Linked DNA regions of Drosophila melanogaster. Changing the gene in region 1 together with any one later gene gives a genetic interaction. Each region holds a gene or a part of one and is shown on either strand. Other genes may lie near its edges.

What was found.
Region 2: of fz (region 1) and Rok, changing one suppresses a phenotype caused by changing the other (phenotypic suppression), as found in Drosophila melanogaster (one study listed by BioGRID).
Region 3: of fz (region 1) and zip, changing one enhances a phenotype caused by changing the other (phenotypic enhancement), as found in Drosophila melanogaster (2 studies listed by BioGRID).
Region 4: of fz (region 1) and meru, changing one enhances a phenotype caused by changing the other (phenotypic enhancement), as found in Drosophila melanogaster (one study listed by BioGRID).

Annotation. Positions count from the first base shown.
Region 1 is NT_037436.4:14,272,359-14,277,361, forward strand, and holds the start of fz (frizzled), read left to right. Parts: upstream 1-1,984; 5' UTR 1,985-2,696; coding exon 2,697-3,368; intron 3,369-5,003. UniProt on the Drosophila melanogaster protein: Receptor for Wnt proteins.
Region 2 is NC_004354.4:16,634,386-16,639,372, forward strand, and holds the start of Rok (Rho kinase), read right to left. Parts: upstream 3,030-4,987; 5' UTR 2,043-3,029; intron 1,977-2,042; 5' UTR 1,899-1,976; coding exon 1,837-1,898; intron 1,283-1,836; exon of another isoform or gene 1,190-1,282; coding exon of another isoform or gene 1,155-1,189; intron 1-1,154. Other genes in the region: RpS19a (ribosomal protein S19a), read left to right, coding at 3,848-3,918, 4,021-4,420.
Region 3 is NT_033778.4:25,008,418-25,013,086, reverse strand, and holds the start of zip (zipper), read left to right. Parts: upstream 1-1,623; 5' UTR 1,624-1,745; coding exon 1,746-1,775; intron 1,776-1,878; exon of another isoform or gene 1,879-1,987; intron 1,988-2,470; coding exon 2,471-2,707; intron 2,708-4,669. UniProt on the Drosophila melanogaster protein: Nonmuscle myosin appears to be responsible for cellularization. Required for morphogenesis and cytokinesis. Necessary for auditory transduction: plays a role in Johnston's organ organization by acting in scolopidial apical attachment.
Region 4 is NT_037436.4:15,838,038-15,845,796, forward strand, and holds the start of meru (meru), read right to left. Parts: upstream 6,026-7,759; 5' UTR 5,507-6,025; intron 5,459-5,506; exon of another isoform or gene 5,369-5,458; intron 3,093-5,368; 5' UTR 3,049-3,092; coding exon 2,695-3,048; intron 1,960-2,694; coding exon 1,800-1,959; intron 1,618-1,799; coding exon 1,472-1,617; intron 716-1,471; coding exon 1-715.

The DNA.
Region 1 (5,003 bases):
ACAGCAGCAATACCAACAACAAGCGGCAAACGGAAACCGACTGAACAACAACAATGGAGACCCAGAAGCCAAGACATACATGCACTGGAAAAAAATTTATATCAATATTTAATTTAAATTTGTGATATGTAACCACACATCGTAGTAAAAATCTACTCATAAATATTATCATATATGTAAATAATGAATTGATGGGAAATTTTATCTTAAAGCGAAGAAATTCGAAAGATATGTGCTTAGACAGCTTAAAATCGTTAGTAGTAGTAGCCTTTAACATATTCCAAGCTCCTCTACGGAAATTATAAATTATATGTTTGTTTATTATTATAGTATATAAGTGATTTTAAAAGTGCACTGCTTATTTATCTGAAAATTGTACTTTAATTTTTTGTTAAGTGTATCTAGCGATTGCAAGGGGGAGACCGAGAAAAAGAGCCTTTTTATGCGGCGCAACTTTGGCGCTTTTTATTAAACAAGCCGACGAAGTGTAGAAGCGAAGAATAGGATGAGGAGGTGGCGGTGGGGGAGAACTGGGGTTGATGGAGCCAAGAAGAGAGCGGATAAAAAGAGCAAAGCATAAAATGAACTTTGCCGGCTAAACCGGTAACACTTGTTTAACGCAAAAGAGAGTGCGGGAGAGCCAGTTATGTGCTGAAAGAGATATGTTAAGTAGAGAGCGACAGAGACAGAGAAAGCCTGATCGGAGAAAAGGGTTCTACAGGTGACAAAGACAAAAGACTGCCAAGACTCCTTTAATGTCATCATTATTGTCAATATAACAAGTTTATTGACTGGCAGCAGATGCCTAACCCCCCACACCTCCCTTGGCGATCCACCACGGGGTCATTAGACAAATTCCCGCGATAAGTTCTCTTCACTCATGCTAAAGCTCAGATTAAACGCAAGTTAATGACTTAATTAACTGCCGGAAAAAAGCGAGCAAGTAAACAAACAACAGCAAAAACTAAAGATAAAGATAAATGGTAAATGCAAGTGCGCAGAGAAATGGTCGACGATAAAAATTGTCGCAGAAATCAAGGAAATTAACGCGTGCAAATATGTATTTCTATAGAGGAAGAAAGCTGGAGAAAAGCAATTATTATAGGTATATTCCAGTAGAGGGCAAATGTCTTCTAACGGCACTTGCAACAGCTGAAGATTACCAAAGAACAGTGGGAAGTGTAACGGGCATCGATGGATTGATATAAAAAGATAAGAAGGTGCGGTGACCTAAGCAATATGACATTTTAGAAACTGAAAAATATTTAGCTGACATGCACTGTAACTTTTTGACATTCGGACATAAATGTTGTATACTCATTTCGTTTTCGGATATGTATCCCATTTCAGCAAGGATTTTTTGCTGGCAAAATGATTCTAGTCTTTTTATATTGGAGCCATTTTAAATGCAGCACTTATTTCTTTTATTCATTTTATAAGCATAAGATTGGTTATAATTTATTATATCGAAAAAATGGTTAATTAATTAATATTTAAATTGGAATCTATAAATATTTAAGTATTTACAAAGTGAATATCGATGTTCAAATTTCCATTGAGCGGGCCCAACACCTAGATTTGGGCACAGCTTCCGCCCCTAATTTCCTATTAGCCCTGTCGATTGCATAATCATCTTGAATTCTAATTAATTAAATGGTCTCTTATTTAGTTGTTTGTTGATGCTTTCTTTTTCCTGTCTGCTAATCAACAGGAGGCCAAGAAGTTGAGAGGAGACAGAGTGCGAGCGAGACAGCATCCAAACAAAAGGCATAACAGCCCTGTCTTTCACTTCGCTCTCTTTGGCTCTCTGGCTCTCCCGCCGAGAGTGTCAAATTCAAGGTCGCCCCCAGTGCTATACTACAAAGCGTATAGCTGAATAAAACCTCCTCTCACACCATTCGAGCGAAAGAGCGCATATTCAGCGTGTGAGCAGGAGAACGATACGGTGAGAGAGCGGCTTGGAAAGAGCCCCATGTTTTCAGTTCCTCAGTTTGTCAGCGTATGCCCTACCATGCGGATGTGCTCGCGGATTGATTTCGACTCGAACTCCGGCTCCGTTTTCGTCTTTTAACGTAAGTCCCGTGCGAAAAAGTTGAATTCGACTCCGTGTTTGTTCAGTTATTTTTTTGCGCGGTTTTCGAAAAAGTGAAAGAAATAAGGAAATTCAAAAAGCGGGGGAGGCATAAATGATATACAGCTAACGGTACTTATGTATGTGCATACAGCAAGATAAAAATGTGGCTGCTAGAAAAGTAAAGCCCGGTACTGTGCCAGATAAAAGCCAACGCTACTAAGTCCTAAAGACCCCCAAAAATTAAATTTTGACACAATAATATTTTGCCAACAACAAATAGCAAAGTCGAATTCAAACGGTTAAACCAAATTGAAGTCGGAAAATAACAAAAAAAGTCTAAACAAAATAAAGAGCAAAAGCAAACGCAAATAAGAGAATAGAGAGAAATATTTATTATTTGCTTATAAGGCCAAACTAAATATTTGCCGCCGGCAAATATTTAAAAGGTGTTAAGTGTTTCGTGGGAGTGAAGTTTTTAAACAGGGAAAATAAATCAAATAAGTATTCAATGGTGTATAAGTGAGTGCAAGTAGATGAGCAACATGTGTGTGTTTTAAAGTGTTTAAAGAGATCGAGAAAAAGCCCCAAAAGTTATTTGACAGCGATATCGAAAAATTCCAAAATGTGGCGTCAAATCCTGTTTATTTTACCCACCCTGATACAGGGGGTCCAGCGCTACGATCAGAGCCCCCTCGATGCGAGTCCGTATTATCGCAGCGGCGGGGGATTAATGGCCAGTTCTGGGACCGAACTAGATGGACTGCCACATCACAATCGCTGTGAACCCATCACCATATCGATCTGCAAGAATATACCATATAACATGACCATTATGCCAAATCTTATTGGCCATACCAAGCAGGAGGAGGCGGGTCTGGAGGTCCATCAGTTTGCTCCGCTCGTGAAGATCGGCTGCAGTGATGACCTCCAGTTGTTCCTCTGTTCCCTGTACGTTCCGGTCTGCACAATTTTGGAGCGACCCATTCCGCCTTGTCGATCTCTGTGCGAATCGGCGCGGGTATGTGAAAAGTTAATGAAAACCTACAACTTTAACTGGCCGGAAAATCTGGAGTGCTCCAAATTTCCCGTCCATGGAGGCGAGGATTTGTGCGTGGCGGAGAATACCACATCATCGGCCTCCACGGCGGCCACGCCCACAAGGAGTGTGGCTAAGGTCACTACCCGTAAACACCAGACGGGCGTAGAAAGTCCGCACCGAAACATTGGATTCGTGTGCCCCGTGCAACTGAAAACGCCTCTGGGAATGGGCTACGAACTAAAAGTTGGCGGAAAGGTAAGTTCTTTAATGAAAATAAATTCACTAAAAAGCGCCGAAAAATAAGCATCATATAAAAATAGGGGGTTATAGGCGCATACTGTATACCTTTTAAAACATTAGTTTTCTATTATTTATGCATTTAATTTTATGATTAAACATGTTATGATTATGACAAAAGTTAAAAACAAGTTCTATAATCATCCGTCGGGTGAGCACAAACTTTTAACCATGTCCAAACTAAAAACGAAGTTGCACAAATAAATTTTGGGTACTAACATCTGTTTAGCGAATGTATTTAGCGCTTTCTTGACTAAATGTATGCTTTAAGTACCCCAAGCCTTTTAGTGAGTATTTCGTTTATTTCTGGAACTTAATATGCCACATTTGGGTTGGTCCCATGTAGGTCAATGATTTTTTTATGTCTTCATTTGAACTCCAGACTCAATTTGTAGAGCAGCGTAGAAGTAGGGAAAAATGCAAATCCTGTTGCGCCGAGAAAACAATTTCCAACCACCAGGGAAAACAGCAGGAGGTCCTTGGCAGGCCAGGAATAACGAGAAGAAGGAGAGAAGGGCGACGAGCCCGCATTCTACCTGCCCGCAGCTCACAAAAGATGGTTAACAGCGGCAGGTAGATCGTTTTTTCTTTGGCTTCGGTTGAGGAAAGGTAAACCAGTTCTTTTTGGAGTTGTGTAATTTGTAATGCCTGCTTAAAAGTATTCCCAAAAAAAGTAAAAAAAAAATGTAACATGAACCATAGAATGTTTAATAACTTGAACTGAGGGTCAGCCTGTTGCATTTTCACGTTCTTTAATTAATTTTCCACCCTTTTCCTTTAGCAGCTTTTTTTCGGGTTCTTAAGCCCCTCAGCAGACTGATTTTTCCACGATTTATTTTCTGTTGGTTTTGGATGAGTGATGATCATCGTCTATGTGTTTCCAATGTGTTTATCTTTTGCTATTTTTAGCCGTCACTCTGTTGTTGCCGGCTGCCATAAGTAAAGCGCATTAAATACTTTGAGGCAGGATAATTCACACTTCCCTCAGTGTCTGGATATCTGGCGGATACATGTGTATCTCTTAGCTACTTTACCATTGCGATTTCTCGGTGTTTTTTCTTCTTTCGTCTCACTCGCTTTTTCTTGATTGGTCTCGTTTTTCCTTGGCTGTGTGTCATCAGTTCCTCTTGGCCTTGCTGCCTTCTTTCCATCCCCATATCATCATGGCTGTCAGCATCTTTGGTTTAGCCGGAGTCCCCAGACCCCGTGCTTAAATGCCTTTTGAGAGCTGCGTGCGAAATTTAGCAGCTTGTTTGCCTGGATTGCATTTGGCCCACATCACGATTCTGTCTGTAAGAGTATCTGCAAATGAATCCGTATCTGTATCTCTGTGTGTTTTGGCCCTGTTTGCCGTGCTTTATGAGCTAGATAGGTCTCTTTGTCTGCTAATGATAATGGCGCAGTGTGAGAGCGTGAATTAATGCTTATTGGATAGATAATGATCCGACAATATAAACATATAATTGCCATGTTAGAAACTAGTGGTATTAACAAGCGTTTTATAAGGGCTCCACAGGTACAGATAAGAAATTGGTCGAAATCAAAATTATAAACTTTATGATTAATAGACAAAGAACTATATTTTAACCCAGA
Region 2 (4,987 bases), on another chromosome or scaffold:
ATCTTGCGAATGTAAATATATAGAAAATTAATTATAACAATTAGGTATTTGCATACGAGGTTACTAGAGCATGGGAAAAGCGCTCTTTCAAATGGAATTTCTCGGCAAATTAAACTACATATTCGGCAAAGAATGAAACAATTAAATTTGGCCTGCCAGTGCGTTGGTTCTGAATTTCTAAATTTAAAGGCATTTTCCGGTCAAAAACTAATTCCCGTAACCAAGATTTATGTGCAATTAGCAAGATGCAAGATGTCGGAGATGCGGAGTCAGTCTGTCAGCGATTGGGAATCGAATTTCGGTGCCCAGCAAGCAAAAGTCAGACTCAGATGCAGGAGCAGGCAAACTGCGATGACAGTCGGCGCTAAAAATTGATACTAAAAGGTGTTTGAATTGTTGTGATTTCATCATCGCCACTTACGGCATGACAGAAAAGCCAAAAACAAAACGCTCAAGCAGCGGGTAATAGCAGCACACACACACACCATACACAAAAGCAAACAACTTGGGAAAGTGGAATTTTCAAAAATGCTGCGATGAATTTTCGTTGCCGCTGTTGATTTCGATTTGGCCAAAGCGGCAAAATGGCAACAACAACATAATTATGAGCAACATTATTGACAACAACAACGGCAATAATAATACATAATAACCAACGACGACGATGACGACGACGACGACAACATTATCGTCACCTATAGACAATATAATTTTCAACTTAATTTATACAACGTCGCCAAATTCGATCTGCCAGTTTTTACAAATTGAACGCTTCACATTCAACACACAGAGATAGAGAGTGGTACTGCATCTGCGTTGCAGAATCTCTTCACACCTTATTAATTCTAATTAATTATTTGCCCAGGCAGCACAAAGGAACTGTTCGGCTTTTATAACCAAATGCGCATTGCAATTGGCCATTGTTAGTACGCAAATGCCTTAACGTTTGCTTCGCTTATGACTGCTTACAGCAGATACCGAGTGGGGATGGGTAATTAAATTTAAGTATTTATATGCATACTCGACGCTGCGGAATTGCTGGGCAAATTGTATTCTCGGAATTTGGAATGCAAGCGAACCAGGACGACAACTGGTAGCTGAGAGCTGGATGCTGAATGCTGAATGCTAGGAGCGTGGAGATGAGAACAACGTACCGTTCCGGCTCGCACGAATGGAGGGCGGCGGGCATTAGCCATGTCCCCATGCCCTATACCGTCTACTGTCCAATGGAAGAAACCGGCGTGGTGCTGGCTATCTATTCTACCTTTTTGGCCCAAAACGATGCAAACGATGCAGCCGATGCAACGCGACGCCTGCAACTGACAAACGGCGGCATCAGCCACTGTGCGTTCGTTTTAGTTCGCTTTTCGTTTTCGTTTTGGTTTTTTTTCTTTTTGGTTTGGTTACAAATTTTAATGCGAAAATGGCAAATTTATTATAAAGTCGCCCCCCGTTTTGTTCACTCGCTTGTCAATTTGATTGCCGCGCTGTCGCTTTGAACATGAGATATGGAAGGTGTTTGCCAGCGGTGTATTACTTTTTGATTTGTTTTGGCCAGGCCCGTTTGGCTTGCGCTGAATTGTGCTAGCTGGCTAGTTGGCTGGTTAGGTGGTTAGCTGGTTAGCTGCTTAGCTGCCTGCTTGGCTTGGTCAGTTGAACAAATCACAAATCTGTCTGTACAAATCGCACGTATCTGTGCGATGGCTACTGCCACTTCTACTTCTACTTCGACTTCTACTATTGCTATTGCTGCTGCTGCTGCTGCTGATGCTGCCATTCAGGTGACAATTAATTGAGTGGAGCAGTCGCTTTTGGGCCGCCATCTCGTGCACTCACCGGCGCCTTCGTTCCACATCCATGCTGCGCTGCTTGGTCACAGTTTCTCGTCCAGCTGGCATGCAAATGCAAGATAACAAGCTGATACTGCTGCTCCAGCTGCTGCTTCCTGTTGGTCAACTGCTGCTCCTGTGCTGCAACTGAAAGCGAAGCAAGGGTTTAACAGAGTTCTCTTCGGGGTACACATATTTATATTGTACATTTACCTGCCAGGAGTTGTTGGACGTCTGTCTATGCTGGGAATGCTAATAGTAATGAGGAGAGGAGGCACGCGTCAAGCGCTAGTTGTTTGCTGTTTGCTGGCGATGAGGTCACGAGTGTTTCGTTGGATTTCTGGCTAACTGCTGCCACTGAACGCCAATCGAATACGGATGGGGATGGGAATGGGAATGGGTATGGGTATGGGGATTGGGCACTTGGCGCTGGCTTCTTTTGGTGGAGTGCCGCCAACGCCACATGCGGACGCAGCCGAGCACCCGGGCGTTCCCAGGTGCGTTTCCCACACGGCAGGCAGGTGTGCTATCGATTCCCGGAAAATGCTATCAATCTAGTTTACTTCCTGTGCAAATGGGATCGTAATGACCAGGATGATCACGTTGACCACGATGGATTGTTGGGTAAACAAGGGAACGGGGATTATTGTCCGCAGTCCGCTTGGCATGCAACAGTTGTGTCAACACTTGTGGCCAAAAACCTGGCCAAAATGTGTCGAATGCGGCGGATTGGTGGTGTTGAAGGTGGGCTTTTGTTTCTCGGCCTTTTGAGTTGTTGGTTTTTGTGTGCCCCAATCAAGTAGCTTTTTCCTTCTTCTATTTTTTTGTTAATTCCAACGATACCTCTGTGCACACACACTTACACGAGCGCACGCACACCAGTGCACTGCGAACGGCGAACGTAGCAAGCGCTACAACAACAATAACAAGGCGCTTCACAGACACACACACACGCGCGCACACACCGATGTGCGTCACACCGACGTACTGTCCGTCGGCAGCGGGGGAAACGCACGGGGGGGCGGGACGGGACGGGGGCGGCTGACCGCCCAAATTGCGAATGTCCAGTTTCGGCCGCGGCCAAATAGATCAATTTGGTTTCAATTAGACGCTGCGCGTTGCACTTATTTTATTTCGGCTCGGTGCTGGTAGAGATGGCAATTGTGTTTACATATCGAAGTTGAAGTATCGAAGTCACTAGGCGCCGATGAAAATACCAGAATATACCAGGGCCAACAGGTGGCGCTCCAAATGGCGATGGTGCTGCGGCAATATCGGTTGTCTGCGTCATCGATGGGCCGCTTGTTATTCGATAGACTCAGAAACTAGCTTCATGAATAGTTATGTAAATCGGTTGCTAACAAAATAAAAAGCAGTTATTTATGAATAAAGTGATACAGCAAAATATGAATTGTACTACGCATTCTTTGCCCACATTGAAAATATACTAATACGAAAATGCATGTTTAGACAAGGTCTTCAAATGCCAAGTAATATATAATATAATCTTGGTGTGCTCATTAATTTAAATATTTTTAAAAATAACTATAAATTGAACACATACGTGTTAGAGTATCATTAACCGAATCTTCGATAGTTCGCCGCGCCGGCATTCGATTAATCGATACTATTGCTGGTGGCAGGCCCAGCACTATTAACCGCAGCCAACTTCACGCGCCTTGTTCTTTTTTCCGGTTGACTTTAACGAGAAAGGTTGTGCACGAATTCTTTTCAAGTGAATTATCTTTTTTTTTATGTTTTGAATGGGTGAAATTCAATGAAAGAGCCCACGCCAAGTGGCAAATGACACAATGGGCCGGCCGTAAACACGAAAGGACAGCTTTTTTCGGGTTAAAACTTCGGCTGGCAATTTTTTGTTGTGCCCGTGCATGTGTGTGTGCGAGGGAGAGAGAGAGAGAGAAAGAGTGTGTCTGTGAGAGAATCGTGGAAATCGCGACAACGTGTTTTTGGCAGCATTGTAATAGATTCCCCATTTGTTTTTCCCGTTCTGCCCGCAGATGCCAGGCGTCACAGTGAAGGATATTGACCAGCACGCGGTTACCAAGGCGGTCGCCGTCTTCTTGAAGAAGTGAGTACTGAACATCAAGTATATTTCCACCACATAACCTCACAATCCATTTGTTTATCCCCCCCCAAAAAAAAAAAAAAAAACACGAAAAAAACCAAATAGGACTGGCAAGTTGAAGGTGCCCGACCAGATGGACATCGTCAAGACCGCCAAATTCAAGGAGCTGGCGCCCTACGATCCCGACTGGTTCTATGTGCGTTGCGCCTCGATCCTGCGCCATCTGTACCACCGCAGTCCCGCTGGAGTCGGTTCGATCACCAAGATCTACGGCGGACGCAAGCGCAACGGTGTCCACCCCTCGCACTTCTGCCGCGCCGCCGACGGTGCTGCCCGCAAGGCTCTGCAGGCCTTGGAGCACGCCCGTTTGGTCGAGAAGCACCCGGACGGTGGTCGCAAACTGAGCTCCATTGGACAGCGTGATCTGGACCGTATTGCTAACCAGATCGTGTTCAAGCAGCGCGATGCCGCCAAGCAGACCGGGCCCATTGTTATTTCCAAGTAATCACACGGCGCCCCTTCGAATTCTAAAAAACGCATTTTTAGACTTCTATTGTAAGCGCTTTTTGTTTGCACGAGAGAGATGAGAAAATAAAACCAACCACAATTTGTAAAAGTCTACGAAACATGCGTTCTTCGAATGCTAGAAACATTTTTTATGCGGTCTGTAAACAGGGGAATAGAATAGCTCCTCTTGGCAATGTAAAAAAGTGGTAGATTTATCAGGATGCTGCTCATATTAGTAATATGCATGTGCGAAGAACAATGTGGACAACAGCTACATTTGGCGTAATTAACTAGCCAATTTATACTTTTACCGAGCCTTCACATTGTTAATGGCTTTCCTTCTATTGCTAAACTATCAGTATCAGTTTGGTATTCTGCCCTTAGAAGGTGCATAGTTTCATTAACAATCCATGTGCTAAGTGGTTGCTTGCCTTGCAGAAATAAACATTTTATATCTATACACACTGCTCATGTGCGACAGCATAGTTCATTGAAATTTAGTCATGCGGACTTGGTAAGGTTAATCTTTAGATTTAAATCATTCCCTTTTTGGTGAAATGGTGGA
Region 3 (4,669 bases), on another chromosome or scaffold:
GGGCCCCATCCGATTCCAGCCCAGTAATAAAGGCCTTTGATTATGTTGCCCCGGGATCCCTTGGGAACGGGCAAACCTTGTTGTCTACCGCTTGTCTGGTCTTTCATAATTTACAGCCTCCCAAAAAAGCGGAATGGAAGCACCGACGCAGTTCTCTGTCCTTTGAAGATTTTGCAAGTTTAATTTATGTGGGTTTGTTTTTTCTTTTCTACTAGCAGTCTCAGCGCACATTAAAAATTCATTATCAGCATAAAGCTGGAAGGTTTCGGGAAGATGGGGTGGCTCAGCTTACCACGACAATTTTGTGGAAAACCAGGAACTACACGTGCAATTATTATCGCTGTCTGACCCAGTTGCTTCAAGGAGAAACGATGGCTTACCTGAATCGATAATTCCTGGCTGCACGTTAGTTTGTCATCCAATGAATCCTATTCGGAGTCCCTCACTTAGGATTCTGGAAACGAGAAACCATAGACAAAACGTGAGAGTTTTGCGGAACTAGTCGCGACTTCTTCTTATCCTTAACAAAGCACTCGCGACAACAACAATCGATTCTGTTCGTTTGCAGTTATTTCTTCCGCAAATGCAAATTGAATTCGCTATTGCGCTCTAATTTCGGCACATACACACGCATACGCACTCTCGCCACACATACACACGAACACAGAGAAACTGGTCAGCAGGCGAATGACGTCATTGCCAAGGATGCTGCGCGCATCTCAAGAACGCTGCCAGAAGTAGCACTTCATTTAAGGAACTGTGTTCTTGCTCTTAGTTGGAATCACTCAAGTCCGTTTCCCCAGAATTAAAAGTTCGCAAGGAGCCCGCCAGATATTTTATTAAAGTCAATTTAATTGCGACTGGCGCCAAGCACTCACATCTGGCTGTGATACTCGGAACTGGACTTACTGATTCAAGCGCGGACCTTCACCGTTCCTCGAAAAATTCAAAATTAACTGAAAGTATCCGCACATCCGCGCATTAACCCAACGGTTTATTGAAGTTTGGTTTTACCAAGAACTGATTCGAAGAGAGGACAGCACGCGAGACCCCGCAAAACACCAAAAACAAAAAGGCGGTAAGGTATTTTGATGTTGTCGTGCGGTCCAACTAAATGAACTACGTATATGTCAAAAGTAAAATCGACATATACGATACTTAGCTTGCACTAATTTGACCAATATTATAAATTGAAAAGTGAGTTGGAAACATCCTTTGCTACATCTGAATATGCAAGTGAGTGAAATCGGCAAAATAATTTAATCTCATTTCTATTCCGGAAGTATTCGATTCCAATCGACACCGCTTGGCTTGAAGCCGCGAATATTTCGATCTTAAGTGCAGTCATGAACCAGAGGAAGCTGATGCGATACTTTGCTAAAAACTTAGATATTCTGTTATAGAGGAATACAATGGCCGACCTGAAAAAATGTTACAGGTGTGTGCTTTAAACAAAATCTAGATGCGATCCATATGTAGAATTTTAATCAGTGTTGACATATCGATGTATGTGTTTTCAGAAAGCGCTGCCGCGGCCGTCGTGTGAACTACGACATATCGATGCATCGATATGTCCGAATGGAATCGGAAGGCATCGATTACCATCGAACTCGAAAAGTACTCGGTCGGCAAAACGGCAAGCGGCGAAAAACAGTGAAAAAAAAAGGGGGAAAGCGAAAAGACGTGCTCAGGAACTGCGGTCGAAGTCTTTGTGAGTGTGTGTGGGTGCAGCTGTCGCCAAACAAATGAAAAGCGCCTGGCTTGCATTAAAATCGGTAAAAAAAAAATCGGAAATGTGCACAGGCATCCAGCGAATGCAGCGACCTATTCGCCGGCGTCGGGACGCCGCCAGCTGAAACTGCACGGTCGAATTTGGCTGCATTTGCACAAACGCTGTGCTGACGCGGGGAAATGGGAGCATAAAAACCGAAACTTGTGTGCGAAATATGCGAATATGCGAAACCTTGGCTCCCAGTGCGATCTATGTGTGTGTGTGTGTGAGCCGTGCTGTGTGTCGGTGTTGCAGAACGAACCAAGTGGGAAGCAAAGCGAGAGAAGACGAAGAGGAAGAAAAAGAGCCGCTTGTACCTGCTCCGAAAACTGAAACATCCGAAATCGGAGGTGAAAAGGTGCTCTGATAGTGTTTAGCTGCAGTTTTAGGAGATGCAAACTGGTTAATTGCTACGTAACGCTATTTTTCCGCTAAATTACTTCACCACCCCTTCTTCTACGTTCAGCGGTGACTTTGGCTTAAGAAAATGAAAATGTGTGGCCATATTTTTTCCTCTCCGTCTTTCTTTCGCCTTCGCGCTCTCCCTTTTGAAACTCTCGCCGCGCGCTGTTCTCGCCGCCTCCGTTTTGTGCCGCACTTCCGAGATAAAGAACGCAAACGCGAGATAAATGCGAAATATTGTATCTGAGGAGCGAGGCAACATACTCATTGTTCTCATCGATTTGTTTTGTCCGACAGAAAAGTGCATTGCATCCGAAAAGCGAATATCCAGTATCCAATATCCATTATCCGAAAGCAGCTAATTACCGACAGACAAGGAATTATTTAGAGATCGCCGCCAAAATGTCGGAGGAAGTAGATCGCAACGATCCGGAGCTCAAGTACCTCTCGGTGGAGCGCAACCAGTTCAACGATCCGGCCACGCAGGCCGAGTGGACACAGAAGCGTCTGGTGTGGGTGCCACACGAGAACCAGGTGAGTCTACTTAAATGTAATGCCTACCCGTAGAGCATGTTCCTACTCTGGACGCAACCTCTGCTACGGGATTTCTACCCCGGAAGCCACGCCCGTTTCAGTGAACTACCTGAATAGACCCTATAGATAGCCTAAATGCAACAGGAACTGCTACAACTGAGATAAAAATACAGTCGATACATCATAACGCTGTTTATTTCGTGAAGTCGGTAGTCATTAGCCCATTATGGTTTTTTTTTTTTTTTTTGTAAAATTACCAAATGTACTTAATTTTCGTTTAATTTTCATATTCTTTTGCGTAAAAAATTGCTACATGTAACTATCTAATATCTAAGTATTACTTCGCAGTGAATGGTTATTATAGAACATAGTGTGTTCGACACATCGTGATAATATTTTAGCCCTAGCTGTACGTGCTCTAATCAATTTTCACAGTGTTTGTCCCCGGCTTTGCGCTTCTTATCAGCCAACACCTTTTGAGCCATCCGACTCACTCATCGATTGGTCATGAATCACGCTTCACCGATCCGTTTATTTTTAATTTTGAACAGGCCCAACTTCTTTGAATTTTCATTACATTCGCACCGCGGTGATAAACTTGGGTAAACATCCGTTGGCGTCGATGCTGAATCACTCTTTTCTCCTGCGCTGATGCTGAATTAATCTCACCGTAGTAGTGTGACACATTTAACTTCTTACTTGGTCAAATCCGCGACCATTTGGTACCAATTTGCATGCAGACGCTCTTCGACTCAGTGACTCACCTCCGAGGGAGAGTGGAAGCAGGAATGGCCCCAGTTCGCAGTTCCCACTAAGAGCGGGCCAAAACAAGTTTTCAATGTGGCTAGGTATTTGTGGTGTGGACTTGCTTGTGTGGGGCTTTCTGGCCTCAACCACACAGCCAGGCCAGCAAAGAAACGAGCCGAGATTGCGCCAAAGAATCGCTTCCCTCGGAGTTCGGGCGCCCGCTCTTGGCCTATAAATTCAAATTCAAAACTTTGGTCGACTGCTAGCGATCAAGCCTTATGATAACAAGCCGATTGTTTTGCTAATTTCGGTGTGGCTTGTTATTCTCTTCTTCAGTTTAAAGCGATTTCATTCAGGTGTCATTCAACTGCATTCCAACGACTTAATTTCAAGACCATAAAAAACGTAAACAGATAAAATTATCAACCGCTCCTTTCTCCCCTGGCTGCCCGTAATTGCTGTATTTGCCAGAGATAATTCCGTACATAGAATGGTAGCACTTTTGGGTGACTTCGTATAATAAAAGCAACATCGAAAACAAAAGCCAACAACTTCACATTTTTGTGTAATTACGCGATCACTTTAACAGACATTTACTTTACAATGGAATCTCACAAAAAGACAACGGCAGAGATAAAACCCAGAAATAAAACGAAAATAACGAAACGCTCGATTGTCATGAGTGGTCCGTCAGATTGTCTAAAGGCTAAAATTTCTTTGCGACTGACGAACGGCACATGAGACGGGTGGAAATAGTTAAGAAATTTGCATATAGCGCAACTGTTGCTCCGCTGGAATGTCCACAGATACAGCTACGTCTTAACGGGAACGGACCCGTCCAAAAGGGTATTCGCCAATTGTGTCAACACTCGTTTCGTTTCCAGCAACTGTTCCAGCTTTTCGAAATGTAAGCGAATTCGCTGAATAATGGCGGCGTCAGTCCACGTACGTGATATCCAAATTCAGTAATTTACTGGTGGATACACAAGGAGACCTTTTGTTCGTGGCTACATTTCGTTTCATGTTGTTTGCTGAACAGCGATGATTCATCGAATCAATTGCACAGAGAGCAAGTTTATTGGTGGGGATTAGATATATTGTACATTGAAGGTTTCGGGTTATAGGTTAATGTATATTTGCGATCTTGAAACTATTTAAATGCTTTTAATAGTTCATAGCTTACTTTTCCATTGTCCAACGATGAAATTGAAAAGT
Region 4 (7,759 bases), 1.6 Mb from region 1:
TATCATGTTTAATTTCATTTTTCAATTCGAGAAGTTCGTGTTCAGTTTTAATAATGTCCTCGGCATAGGCTTCGATATTTTGTTGCAACTGCCCGACCGATAGCTCCATTTCCGGTCCCTTGTACCGTTCGTTCTGCAATCGGTACAGTCGGCACATTTCCGATAGCTGACGTGTTAGAGCGTGTTCCTTTTCATAGCGAACATTCATATCGGCATGAAGAGATGCCAACTTATATCGTACACTATTTCGCAAGGGCTTATCCTTTCGCCTCCTTATGCAGTTATTAACATTGTAGTTGTTGTTATTGCATTCGCTGGGAATCGCTGTTCTAAATGTTTCAACCGAGGCTTTGGTTATCTCGTGACGACTTCTTCTTCGATGACGCTGCTTGCTGACGCGATTCTCGGCCAGTTTATAAAGTTTGGATTTGGCAGTGTTTTCGGTACCCCTATACAGTTGGTCTGGCATTATAACCAGCACCAAGTCATTGGTCATCGTTTGCTTTTGGCCGTGCACTCTCTTCTCCTTTAATTTGTTCGGCACTTTTGGAGGCGTTTTTGTGGGTTTTGGTGGCGTCTTTTTACCCTTTTTCAGATGCAATAGCTTCTTGAGCCACTTGTACATCGAAAATCCCGTGGCTGATTGTGAATGGGGCACTAATTGCATGGCAAGGGGATCTCTGAAACTATCACGATGTTTTAAGGAGATGCGGAGCTGTAAAAAAACAGGAGAAATAATTATTTATTAATGAATTGAAGTTCGTTAAAAACTTAAAAGTTTATGACTTCTTGACCATGTTTTACTCCTCACTGTATATTGTTCTTATTTACGCCACAAATTGACTATTTTTTTATTTATACAAAACAAGGTAAAACTAAATATCCCACTTTATGATTATATTGTCATTAATACATCTCTAACAATAAAACTACCTTGGCGCTTGTTTTTAACCCTTTCCATCCATTAACTGGATAAGATCATCAAATAACAATTAGGAGTTCCTTTTCCTCGAATAACATTATTCCCATTGCTAATGGTTGGGGTCATAAAACATTTACAACATAATTAGACCAAAACGAAAACATGAACTTTGATATAAAAATCAATAAGCAAATTGATTTCACTCTGTGCGTCATAAACAAATAAATACGAAAAGCCAAAGCATAAGTCAAATGCGAGTGGTACTATATATGTACATATATATATACATATGTACATATATAATAGGCGCGGGTGTGACTTTGAAAGGGGGATATAGAGAACGTATGGAATGGGTTTTCGAGAACGACATGAATTTCTTGGCTTGCGTGTGGCGCCAGGAAAAAAGCGCTTATTATGCAATCACTGTAGACTTTTGGTTTTTTTTTTTGTGCTTTCGGGCCCCGTTCGCTGGTGTTTCTGTTTTATTTTGTTCCTTTTCTTTCTGCACGCCAGGTGGGATTCCCCTGGTCCACCGACCGTTGCCATTACCTCATTGTGTACACGGCTCCAAGCGCGCCAAACGGGCAAAATGGCCATGTTGCCATCATAGCACCGCTCTATTCCGCCCCAACTTTCCGTTATAATGTAATCGCTGTAGTCACGCGATGCTGCTGCCGTTTTCCTCTGGCCGCCATCTTGTTTTTCCAACGTGCGGAAAACGGGAAAATTGAATGAAACGGAACGAAACGCAAAATGAGAGAAAATAAAAGAAATTGTAAATAAGGAGCATAAATAAATAAAAAGCCAAATTGTGATGTATAAAAAAAAAAGTAGCAGTCACGACAGGATCGCCTGGGAATTATTATTATTAACCTACCTTTCGGATTATTGCCGCAGTAGAATCCATTGCCGTTTCGCAGTTCGTCATCAATCAGCGCCTTGATTATGTCATCGCACGTCGTCTTGTTCGTCACTCCGGATACGTAACGAGCCTCTCCGTCGTCCATCCAGATGGGTATTTCCTTGTGGCCTTGCTCCTGAAGGGTTGCCAGAAGAACAGAGGAGTATGTAGATCGATTAAGAGGATTGCCAGGTTTTTAGGAATGAGTTGTAAGATGGGGTATGGGTTTTAGAAGCAAGGGAAATTTTCAAAGAATTTCTTTATAGTAAGGTAATATAAATTTAAGGTAAACTCCTAAAGAATAATACTCATAATAATAGTCAATCAACTGTATTGAAATCTACCTGTACTAACTTTCTATATTGGATAGATATGAAAGTGCTCAAGGAATTATTTAGATTTGATTATATTTTGGTGGAAGCTCTATATATTTTCCTACTAAGCCAATATAATTAAATGGTAATATTGAGTTAAATCTCATTTTTATCTTATTTATTTATAAGCAAGTCCATTAAATGTTATCCTGTTCAATAAACGACTCCCTTTTGAGTTCTAAGCCCATTACCAGAACCATTAGATAATATCTAAAGAATTAAGTTAAGTCTCCTTTCGATTCTTACGAAAACGCAAGGTTGCAATCAATTTCTTGAGTAACAGACGCACTATCGAAGTTTCACACACGCTTATATGTAAGTATAACCCTATCCACATAAGCATATGACTACCGCCAGTGACTGCCCACCCAATTAGATGATTTGTTTTATTTCAGTGGAAATGCTGGCGCAACCGAAAATCAGGGGCGGGGACTGGAGTGGGGTGGTGAGTGGCCAAAGGAGCCGGAGGACCAGGAGCAGGAGGAGGAGGCACTTACCACAGTGCTATTAACGCCATAGAGGGAAATGGAACGGTGGCGACGACTGGCCTGGCCAGCGTTTCCGTTTTCCCTGCCGTGTTTATTTTTGCATGCTTGCCGATGTGGTGGTGCTGGTGCCATGGGTATGGCCAGAGGTATGGGTGGTGCTAATGGTGGCTCCCCCACCGATGGCGATTCATCCACCAAACGCTCCTCGAATGCAGCCTGCTTATTATTATTATTATTATTGTTGGTGTCTTGATTTTGACATCGTCGCGGCGGAAGAATGGGACTTTCGGGTAGATTCAATAGCGATGGACAGCTGTCCAGATTATCATCGATGAATGTGGAGTTCTGTTGTTGGGGCGCCATATTCCTTTGACCGCCTTTTGAAAAACCTCTCTGGCTAATTGGCACTGCAATGGAAAAGCGGTGGAAAAAATAGTTTAATACATATAGAGAACATGCAATATCCTTGTTAGACATTTTGTTGGTTCAGCTGGCTGTTCGTTCGCCTACGCCTAACGATCAATTTAGATTTGTTGCCCGCGATTAAATAAATTATGCAGTAGCCCTTTGCCGCACAACATGTGCACCTATATGGTACATATAGTACACATACATATGTATATGTATAGAGTTGCACCTCACCATAGACACACGACGCAAACCCATCTAGATTCCTAGAAAATTGCCTACCAACGTCAGTTGGCGCCGGTGGCCCATTATTCAGGAACATTGCCGGCGTTTAGGCTGTCGCACCATTCCCCCCCCATTCAATCCACCATTCGCCACTGCCACAAACCCAAGTGAAGCCATCGGAATCCTACGAGGCCTACTAGGACCCTATTCACCATTTCACGGCCCCTGTGGGCCCCCCACACATAATTTGTTGTTCGGGGGGCGTTGTACGAACATTGCAGTTTGTATGCAAATTCGCTTTTCCAGCCGAAAAACATTTTCCTTTCTGCTTCATTTTCTTTTTTTTTTTTTTTGGATTGCAATTGGTGGCCTGACTACTGACTTATGAATTAATGCTAATTTATGCCGCCGGAAAATGCAGCGAAGGAACTCAAATTATATAGATTGACGGCGGTTAGGGTGCTGAAATATTTTTGGCTAGCAATTTTCTAAAATATAAGTGCTGAAATTGCTTTGTTTTTACGGGAGATAGAATAGTCCTTGCAATGCAAAAGGTTAAAATATAAATTAAATATATACGATCATGTTATCCTGTTTAATTTTAGAATGAATGTTCCCAAATTCCATTCCAACTAATTCAATTACAATGAGTATTTAGATCTTTTATGATATCGAGATTAAAAGTTCCGAAATTCATTTTAACTGCTCACCAATTAATTTAATTTCAAAAATTATTTAAAGAACTACAACTAAGGTAAGCTCCCCAAGGAGCTTATTTGTGCTCAAAACTACAATTGAATCGGAATTTACAGAAGTTTTCAGAATTCCCTCATCAAATATTTATTTGCTCTCTGGACAGGTGCCGTTAGCGATGGGCCACGCCCCCGTTTCTATTAGAGAAATGAGTTATGAGTGAAGCAATTTGCAAAAGGATTTCCACCTGGGCCAATAGTCCTGCCACTAGATATCCTTGAACGGGGGCTGCCTTTGATTACGCTGGACATCTGGACATGTACAGTGTACATTTAAAAATGTAATTTCCAATCAAGATAAGTTCAAATGTAAATTTCCATTGGTGAGGTCAATTACTGAACTCTGACACGCCCTTTGCATTGCACTTAATTGTTTTGAGAGGGGGCTTGACTGCCTCCCCTCATAATACATTTATGAGAGGGCAGTTGGCCAAGTTGAGAAATACTTTTGACCCCCGAAAGTTCAATGTCTCTAAAGTTTAGCCAGCGATTGTGTCTCACTCTGGGCATTGTTTTTTTTTTATGTATTTTTAAGTCTTTAACAATTTTAGCCCGGCCCAAATTAATTGCTCCCCTGAAATCCTACTCGATTTTTTCGTTGCGTGTTGGATGGAAATTAATTTTGTTTTGGTACTGCGCATTGGATTCTAAAATGAAAGTAGAGGAACCAACGCTGTCGTGACGTTGGCAGTTCAATGGGGTTGGTACCGGTGGCGTATGAGTAATATAGCTATGGCTGTGATTTGATAATGTATTGTCCAAACTTGGATAAGAAAAAATTATTTTTGGCTTAGGGAAACTACTTTTCAATTAAATATGTAAACAGATTTGACTTTTATTTCAGTCGATCTGTTACTGGACATAGGAAGAATAGTATATATAGGGGTTTTAGGTTGTTTCTAAAGCTTAATGAAAACTCTTTCAATCGTTAAGATTGGCCTAGAAGTCTTAAATGAAAAAAAAACAAGTTAAATGGGGTATATATTATATATTATATATATATTATTATTATATATTATTGTATTATATTATATAATATATATATATATATATATATATATATATTATATATTATTATATATTATTATTATTTTATTAATACATTTTTTAGATCTTTTTTGGGGCTTTACTTTCCTACAACGTTTTTCGTTAATTCGAACAACTGATCTATATACATATAGATATACTGATCTGATACTGATATATACTGATCTATATCCATATACTCCTTATAAACCTAAGAACGCTCTACTTATTTTATTTTGTTCAAATTGTAATGGCTTAGAAATCGTTGTACAAAGCCGGTTTTTAAGTTTTGGCACCCGCAGAACCACAGAATAATAAAGTCAACTGTGAATTCTCCCAGTGCCAAGACTCAAAGTCAGCAAATTGAAGAGCTACAGCTCTGGATCGCTGGATCACCTGAGATCGCTTACCTTTAGATAGTTTCTCCAAATCTGGCAGTTGTCAGCACTTTTCAGGTTGATCCTTTTCGGCTTTTGGCCGTGTTTCTTCACTTTTTGGCAAGCTAGTGAGTAATTTGGTTCTGAAGATTGTATTTTTCAGTGGTCTTCACTGGTTCACACTGCAGCTGCAGCTGCAAGGACATGCTAATCCTTTGAGCTTTGACACTTGACTGAAGTTCAAATTTGAATTTGCGGCTATGTAAGGTGAGCTAGGCAGCGACGTCGACGTTGACTGCGCAGTTGGCAGCGCTGCCGCCTACCGGCCGGATAATAAACGAGTATATAAAAAGGTTTCTAGATCTAGACAGGTGCTAATGTTGCTGTCCCTGTCGCTAGCACTCGATTCGAGCCTGGCACTGAAAGCCTTTCGTTCCGAAGCGGCACAGGTCCTTGCTGCCCGAGGACTCGTGGTTGCCAGGAACAACGTTGCACAACAAATAACTGAACGGCGTATCCTTGACGACGGCAAGTGACTAACTAAAATTTTATTTGCTACCACACAAAACTTTAAAGCAAAAACGGTGCGAGCAGCTCGCAGGAACGCACACCGACACACCGACACACCTGGCGTTGCGGGAAGGGAAGGGGCAGGAAAGAAAGAGAGAGCGCCCGATCCGAGGGTAGGTTCCCTGCCCCTGCTGTCGTCATCATCATCGTCATCCTGCCACCGTCTTTTGGCCAACCACCAGCCACCACCGAAACTGAGTAAAAAAATATAATACGCTATATACGTCGGAGTGTTCCTACCAATTTCCACTAGCCCTAGCCTTCTAGAACTACTCTCTTTCGGCCAGGACCAATACCAATACCACTGTCATTACCATCTACCACTACCACTACCAACTACTACCACGACCACTCCCTTCGCTCTTTAATGCAGTTTGAGCCGTTCCATAAGCGAACTGTAGCGTGTGCTGCCCGCCAACAGCACCACCAACACCAGGAAACACCAGGAAACACTAGGAACCACCATCAGCACCAGCCAGAAATGCACTGGGAAAAATATTTGCTGTCATTGTGATCTTAACACTGCTCCTACTTCCTACCTACTATGATTTTCAGTAATATATTTTTTTGTGGGAACTGTTAAAAAGTTTTTATCGAAATACTTCAAGTTAACTTTCCTTTCTTTAGTGATTAATCCGCTTTTAGTCTATTGCATTCTTTCAGATACTTTTATTTTAATATTAAATGCGCATCTTAGTATTCTGATAATTTAAATTTAAATTTACATTCGCTTAAATATGACAATATTTTTAATACACACCATAAAAAAACCCCTTATTTACATATATTATTTCAAATAGATATAGATTTTATGAATGGGTTATGCTAATTACAATAAAGCAATGTTTTTTGCAGTGCACCAATGCCATGACGCGCACTTTGCGTTATTTGGTAAAACGAGATTGTTGATAACGTGCCACCAACAACAGCAGCAACAACAAACTATAAAAAACTCGCGGTACATAAAAAACGAATTTCTGCCTTGTTTTTATCCCCCCCAATCCATTTCGCCCACTCTTCGACCAGCCTATTTGCCACCCCCACTGTTTTTTCGCTGTGTATTTTATTGTTAATGGGTAGCATTTGCTTTTCGATTCAATTTTTTTTTCTGTATTCCTTTCGTTGTACATTTGTTGCTAACAGACTTTTTTCGGTCAGGATCAAAAAACTTAGGCTGGGAGTAAAAATATATGGAATCAAATTTGGGAGGGGTTAGCCCAATGCTATCTAAGAAGTAGTGCTAATGGTTCTAGCGACTGGCTTTTGTATCTCTATGAATGAGAAAGTAAAAGCCACGCTTGTGGAAATAGTTCGATAAGTAATCCTTTTATTGGAGATTATACTTTCATATAGATGTATTATTTTGATCGGTTTTTTCTTTGGTTTAATGTAATTATAAATGATATATATGTTACCCTTTGGCAAATGAAAGAACTGCATAATATTTATAATTGAATTACTTAGTTATGAGTTAAGATTATAATGTCAATGAAAATAGAGGTCTTCATAAGTCAAAATCCATACAAATTGCGAGACACAATATTTCTTCGAAATGCATTACACTCAATCCGATCGATCTTCGAATGAACTTGGTGTATATTTACCTTGGTTCCAACTGCTTTGCTTAGCCACCCAATAATTTCCATTCGACTCATTAGGATTGGGCAATACAAATATTCAATAATGTTCAAGCTCATTAGGAATCGATTGAATACA